Yarrowia lipolytica: one gene and its partner. The protein of the gene in region 2 binds, or shares a complex with, the protein of the main gene of each other region. Links are inferred from orthologs where the notes say so. Each region holds a gene or a part of one and is shown on either strand. Other genes may lie near its edges.

Evidence for each region.
Region 1: the proteins of YALI1_A18273g (region 2) and YALI1_E16164g are in contact, whole or in part, in a cryo-EM structure (PDB 6N3Q), measured with the Saccharomyces cerevisiae proteins. The link is inferred for Yarrowia lipolytica from reciprocal best matches to the Saccharomyces cerevisiae genes SEC63 and SEC66. Residues at the interface, in NP_014897.1 of Saccharomyces cerevisiae: Gln247, Thr250, Lys251, Lys252, Asn256, Ala259, Ser260, Val263, Val267, Asn268, Tyr269, Lys270, Pro271, Ser272, Glu273, Ile274, Thr276, Ile339, Gly342, Phe343, Arg344, Leu365, Pro367, Thr528; in NP_009730.3 of Saccharomyces cerevisiae: Asn69, Lys109, Leu113, Gln116, Ile117, Leu120, Asn123, Gly124, Ser125, Ile126, Gly127, Glu128, Asp129, Tyr130, Arg133, Arg178, Arg179, Ser182, Arg186, Val189, Glu193, Trp194.

What each region holds. Positions count from the first base shown.
Region 1 is NC_090774.1:1,615,325-1,618,122, reverse strand, and holds YALI1_E16164g (uncharacterized protein), read left to right. Parts: upstream 1-1,669; coding exon 1,670-2,212; downstream 2,213-2,798. Other genes in the region: YALI1_E16174g (uncharacterized protein), read right to left, coding at 1-733; YALI1_E16121g (uncharacterized protein), read right to left, coding at 2,613-2,798. UniProt on the Saccharomyces cerevisiae protein: Acts as a component of the Sec62/63 complex which is involved in SRP-independent post-translational translocation across the endoplasmic reticulum (ER) and functions together with the Sec61 complex and KAR2 in a channel-forming translocon complex.
Region 2 is NC_090770.1:1,824,582-1,828,896, forward strand, and holds YALI1_A18273g (uncharacterized protein), read right to left. Parts: upstream 2,715-4,315; coding exon 570-2,714; downstream 1-569. Other genes in the region: YALI1_A18286g (uncharacterized protein), read left to right, coding at 4,011-4,315. UniProt on the Saccharomyces cerevisiae protein: Acts as a component of the Sec62/63 complex which is involved in SRP-independent post-translational translocation across the endoplasmic reticulum (ER) and functions together with the Sec61 complex and KAR2 in a channel-forming translocon complex.

The sequences.
Region 1 (2,798 bases), on a different chromosome or scaffold from region 2:
CCATTCGAAAAGGCTGTGATTGCAGAGTAATAGCCGAGGGCTGGCATCGGGAACAGATTCCTTCGGGCCAGGGAGCATGGGCTCCTGTACAGCTCTTGGACACTCCGAAATCCGACACATTCAGGGGGGCAATGTATCCGCCTCCATTCTTCTTGTTCGCCTGCGAATTGAGCTTTTTGACGTAGGCATGGTAGCTCATATGCTTAATCTTCTGCTCCTTGAGATACTCCTCGTCCCAGGGGTCGACTGGAAGAGTGTCTTCGCCCATACCTCTGGATCCAAACTTTCGCTGCTGGAGTGCTGATAGCTGTCGCTTGATCTTTCCATCTTGTTTCTCGAGATAGTCATCGACAGGCAATTGTTTGGTGGCGTCTCGAATGTGTGCCGCGGTCATTTGGGGAGCGGTTTCGGCCGTCACAGCCTCCACAGCAGCTCGTGGGGCCGAGTCTGTGTAGCTGACAAACAGCATATCACCATGATTAAGCCCCAGCTTCTGGACGGTTTTACCCAGAAGACGAGAGGCCGGTTCCTGCTTGCCTGTGGGTGACGTGGCAAGGGTGATTGTGGCGGGATCGATGTCTGGCAGGTCTTCAGTGAGCTTCTTGAACGCCACATCGAAGAGATCTGTGGGCTGGGCCTCCGCTCGAAGAGTGCCCTTTTTGGACCGGAATCGCAGGATCTGAGTTAGTCTGGGCACAATTCCACAGCTGTTTGTGTCTGCAGTACTCACCATTCTCGAAAGTAGTGGTTGATAGAGATGATGTTGAGATGGAGCTTCCTGTTGCCACTGGGACAAGCATATCCGAGTGAGGATTTAGAGTTTGTTAAAGATATTTGGCTCTACTTGGAGAATCAATAAAATAAAAAACAAAACAGTATATATAAAAAAAGTAGCTGGATGGCGACAGACAGTGTGACGTCTGTAGTATCGTACCAAGAGGTCAAGATATTGCCTCAATATGTATTACAGTGGTGAAGGAGAGTATTTCGGGTCTTTAAACATTCGGAAACGCCGTTTGAAGGTGTCCTAGTTTGGGGCTGATGATCATGTACAAGTTTCATACAGTATAATTAGCAGCCTAAATGATAATACTACTGTAAGCGCGGGCATAATGGCGGATGGCATGTGTACAGCCAATGAAAAGGATGCTTGAACGGTCGGTTCAGAAATTGGTGGCCACAAACACAAATTCGTGTACTCGTACTCATATTTGTAGCCACAACTAGACTCTAAACACTTCACTCGGCTTACCTAATACCATCCCACATTGGCATGTTCTAATTAAATCTCAAGTATCATTATGTAGCAAAGCCAAGTAACTACATAAACTCTAGAACCTCTTCGACTGTCGTCTAAAACTACCCCAAAATAGCCCAAATCTGGTTCTGGAAAAAAAGCAACGATATCCTCGGGACGCGTATACAACCATTAAAAAACAATTGCAACCAAAAAAACATCCACGTGACCACACTCTGTCGTCCTCTCCAGCCTCGTCTATGCAACGCGCGTAGCTGATTATACTACACCTTCTTTCTCCAGTGCAAATAGAGTTATTCATAGGTGGCCGAAGCGAAGAGAGTCTAACAAGAACGAGACACACGTAACGTTACCTCTGTTAACACCACACACACACACACACACACACAACAGACCGACAAAAGACCGACAATGGAAAGCAGCAGCGGCGTTTCCATCTACACGCCCTTCATCTACTTTGCCGTGCTTGTGACGGCGCTGGCCGTGTTTGGCAAGATCTACCGATCCCGGCAGGCGGTCAACCTGGCAGGAGTCGAACCGTGGTACCCCGATCACATTCCCCGAGACATCTACTTCACTCTGCGGGACCACACGTCGCCCCGTCCATCCGAAAAGGTGCTCAAGGCCGCTCTTCTACGACGGTCGGCGGAAAACATCAAGCGAATCATCAAAACCAAGGAGGCCAAGCCCCATCTGACTGCTCTTCACGAGGCGGGATCCATTGGAGATGATCTGCTGCATCAGTTCACCGCGTGGGAGAAGATGATCGAAATGGAGCTCAACGACTGTGCCGCTGAGGCCAACACATACGCCGAAAACTGGGCCCAAACCATGTTTGCTACTGCGTCGGAGATCATCCAGAACGAGGGTCTGCGAAGACGAGTCAACGAGCTCAACGAGAAGGAGAAGGCCTTTGATGCCGACCTGGTCCAGGCCAAGGTCATTGTCGCTTAGATCAATATAGAAATGGAGGTATGATATGGATCCAGTGAAGCGATAAAGTGGGTGTAGAAGAAGACTGGCACTAACTGCGAACCAATGTGATAGCAACGGGTCTTTGTAACGAATGTCAGACCCTACTACTTGTTAATGAAGCGATGATCATTTGTATTATCTTTAGACAGATTGCACATTGGGTTATGGCGATGGCTCGCAGGACAAGAAGTACTTAGACCCATCGAAGGGCCAGGAGTTTTCTCAGAAAGCGTCCGTGCTTTCCGTACGGTTTGTGTTGGTACTTGTAGTCTTTTGTATGAGCTATACGGTGTCTGTACCTCTCATCGTACAATAATTGCCCATTACTTATACATATATACATGTCCTCCGAGGAAGCCCTAAGGAGCCCTAAAGAGCCCTAAGGAGCCCGCTTCTTCTTGCCAACCACCTTGAAGGCGGTGTTCCATCCATCATCCTGAGGAGCAACCTCGGCATGCTGAATCACCTCGCTCCATTTGACAGCAGAGTCACCATCAGCAATCTTTCTTCGCTTGAGGAACTCGGCAGCAAACCGTCGACCGTCCAGAGTCGACGAGTTGGCGTA
Region 2 (4,315 bases):
TGGACGCATGTTGGCCGTTATGTTAGTAATCACTCGGGTACTTCAAAGCTGCTCCTGCTGACGAGTCGAGTGACTCAGGGACTTCATCACTCGCCCAGTGGCTGGTGATGGTGGTGGAGATAAGCAGGAGTCGGACTTGTAATCATACGACGCGTCGTTTTGACTTTTTTTTTTCCAACACGAAACGCGAAATACATTAATTTTTGTGGAGAAAAAGGAGACATGAGGAAGGCTTCGAGTTGTCCGTGAAGAAAGAAGAAATGGTGAGCGTATTCCGAGACACGCACTGAATCAACCAATCTCCTTGAAGTACAAATCAATGGAATACCGAGTCGTGTAGTAACTCCAAAGGCGGTTTGCTATTAGTAAGTACACTGTATGGATGTACTATAGAAGTATCTTTCCAGACCTCAGTTGCACCTAGTGGCACTCCGCATTACATGAGGCACTGCTATATCACATCACTTGATGTACTGGATCTACACCCTCTTCATCCACCCTCTTCCACCCTTCTCTACCTCTAAACATACATTGCACTATATTGCTTTTACCATCTTCTCCTCCTCTAATTACTTCTTCTTGGGATCCTCAGCCTCGTCCTCGGTGTCGGTGTCGATATCCGACAGATCCTCCTCCTCCTCGGAGTCCTCCTCATCGTCGTCCACTACGGCGGCCTTCTTGGTGCTCTGGCCCCGGGCAGAAGCCAGAGCGCCAGCAATGGAGTCCTCCTCAGGCTCGGAAATGTCGTCCTCGTCGTCGTCATCAGCGGGAATCTCCGGGTTCTTGACCTCCACGTTCAGCTTCTCCACAGCATCGACGCCAAAGTAAGCCGTGTTGAGCACGTTAACCTTGTACGAAAACTTGCCGGGGAACATGGGAGTGGGGTTCTTGAGCTGGATCTTGAAGGAGCCGATAACGCCATCCTCCACGTCCTTGCCAGGCTTGAGATTGCTCAGGTTGGATACGTCGAGCCGGGTGATCTCGCCGGGACCCTCGACAATCTTGTTGTCCTTGTCAGAGGTGATAAACACAACCCACTTGCCCTGATGGAGAGCAGGGAAGTAGGGTGCGTAGGTGTGAGGCAGCAGAGGAGCGTTGCTGTTGGTGATTGTGGGCTCCTTGAGCACCTCGATAGGCTCGTCGAGATGCAGATCATGCTTGAGCTTGGCGGTATCAATGTTGAGAGGTCGCTTGGTGCCAAATGGCCGCACCCGGATTCGTAGAACAAGATGGGCAGCAGACTGGGGGGTCACCACGTCTTCACCAGGCACCTTGAAGTAGGCATCCACAATATCAATCTTGGGCACAGCGTTGGCGGTGTTCTTGACCGATGTAATATCAGATTTGTCGACGCCCAGAATCTCCTTGAATTGGGCATCCTTGAAGCCCAGGATGGAGCCGGTACCGTAGCCCTTGGCATTCTTGGTCACCTGCTCGTAGTCCACGTGAGGGAGCTGCAGCATCTCTCCAAGAGGAAGATGGTCGAGAGAAACGGCCTGAACCATGGCTCGCTGAACCTCAATAATTCGCTGAACCACCTCCAGAGGCTTGAACTCGATGGCAATGTCGGCAAAGCCATCCAGCAGCTTGGGGGCCAAAGCAGCCACGCCCAGCATAGCGGCGGGCTTGGAAGAAGCCTTTCTGTGGAGGTAGTCGTCTAGAAGCTCGTAGACCTGCTTGCTGGTGAGCTCGGGGAAGTTGATTCGGTACTCCTCGGCCTCGGACACGGCCTCCAGGATTCGCTTGTGAGTGATGTAGTCTGGCTGCTCCTTGGCCATGATGGAGAAGAACCGGGCTGCGGTCTTGTTGTGGATTCCACGACGAGTGTAGGACTTGACTCCGGTCCACCACTTGCCAATGGTGTAGGGGAGGATGACTCCCACGACAATGGCGTAGACACCAATGAGCAAGGGAGAGCCCTGGCCCTCCACGAGCCACTTGGGCAGAGCAATACCGTGGTCGGTCTGCTGGGGGCCGTCAGGATGGCCAAACTCCAGAAAGTTGTTTCGGGTGACTTCGTCTGTCAGCGCCTTGTAGGCCTTTGTGATCTGGACCCACGCGTCCTCCACCTGCTCCATGGTCTGGTTAGCCACCAGCTTGATCTTGTCGGGATGCAGCTTGACCGACAGCTTTTTGTAGTGGCTCTTGATTTGCTTCTCTGTGGCCGAGAAGGACACGCCCAGAATCTCGTACGGATCAAACGTGTCGGCCTTGACCTTGACCTCCTGTTGTGAAATGAACACCAGCGCTCCAATCAGAGCCGCCCACCCCGCAACCAGAGCCACGTTGCGCTTGGACAGCAGCTTTCCGCGCCGTTGCTTGCTCTGGAACGAGTCAATGTCCGCCGCATGGGGGGGACGGAATGGTGTCACGCCCTCGGGAAGAGTCGCCTGGGTCTTGGGGGGACACAGAACCGGATAGACGGCACTGAGAGTCCAGGGGACTAGCACCAGTGAGCCCAACGTGACCGCAAAGTATGGCCACACGTCCGACTCTTCGTCATAAGAGTACGAAGGCATTTTTGAGTCTGTGTTGTGGAAAGAACCAAAGATGTGTGATGTACAGTCTGTAGATGACAACTGTGGTTGGGAGTGTGACGTGTAGTTAAAGTAAGGTTTGGCAAAGTAGATACAGTAGGTGGAGGAGGAGTAGAAATGGCGAACAGACTGGAGTAATTTTATGGGAATAGGCGGTGTTGTTGTTTTTTTGGTCATGTGTATTGTCACGTGACTTGATTTCACGTGACTGTTTGTTTCTGAGGCTCCCTCCTTCCCCCTTATACTGTGGTCAATCGCACACTACTTTTCAAGGGTAAGGGTTGCATTGTAGATCAAGAACAGGGTGGAATAAAAATATAAAATATAAAAAAGTGTGAATTTATATAGTTCAGTTTATTATTCATTGTAGCTCAGATGGACATGGAGCTGGGGACAGAAGGCGAAAACACGAGTTCCTGAGAATCAATTGTGACATGACCGGGTCTGGGAAGTCGTGTGACCAAATGTATAACACATTACGGCCGCACTTGTAGACCAGGTGCCCCACATCTCCACGCCGTTCCGTCCTCCTCGTCCTCCTCTTCTTCATCCTGCTTGCAATGGCGGCGCGCGCGTATGTATGTATGTACTGTACTGTACTGTACTGTACTTGTAGATGGGCAAGTTTTTGCTGTCTGAAGAAAAGACGAGAGCAGGACGAATTTGCGAGTCATGCAGCGGGGATGGAATACGACGAAACAGTCCTAACCTGTGTTTTTGACGTAGGAATCACATCTCATAAGGTGTTTTTCCAGCGTGATTGATTGACTTTTCCGAGGAGGTTTGAATTTGGATTAGTACGAGTATGTGAGTGTGTATAGGGAGAGTGATGGAGACCTGGAGAGCGAACTTTTCCAGGGTTATATGGTATCTTATTGTTTGAAATGGCCAACTTATTCTCCTTATGAGTTTTTTATTGGAACCGGATCAACTTTGACGGAGTTTGTCCAGTCTTGATAGTGGGTGTATAGTACAGTGTGAACCCTACAACTGTATGTAGGTTTGTACTGTATTTACATTTACTATGGTTGACGTATGGCTATATAATGAAGTCTTCGAGTTATACCACCCATTTGGTATTCTCTTCAATTAATTCAGAGCAGGACATTTATCAGCTCGTCGCGTTATCAGCCATATTTCAACTTGCATTCTTTTCTTTTTTCACGCTTTTTTCTCGCTTTTTTCTCGCTTTTTTCTCGCTTTTTTCTCTCTCGACTTTTTTGTTTTTCTTTTTATTTATTTTTATTTATTTTTCTTTTTCTGGTTAACCCTGACAATATTTCAACTACGAGTTTAAATCTAGTGGAGACTGAAACTGAAACTGATCTTTTACTTGGGGAAATGTTTGTTTTTGGGCGTGAAAATTGATACCCTTGATATTCAAGCGTCAAATAGCTGAATTATTATCCCTCTTTTGACTCTAGACACGTCCCACTGCTTCTACAAGGACATTTGGCGCAGGTCTCGATTCTCATGCACAAGCAAAAACTACACTTTTTTAAATTGGCGTGCATTTTCATTTTCGTTTCACCAGTACCACCACAAACAATGAGTTATCGAGGACGCGGACGAGGCCGAGGCGGCTACAACAATAGCGGCGGCCGCGACAACAACAACAACAGCAACAACAGCAATCTGACGGACATTGAGGTCCGAGGGTGGACGAACGCGCCTAAGGACGATCTTGTACGGTTTCTCCAGGACAAGGGCGGGTTCCGGTTGCAGAACCCGTACGTGGATGGCGACGTGATCAAGGCCCGAGTCAAAAACACGGACGC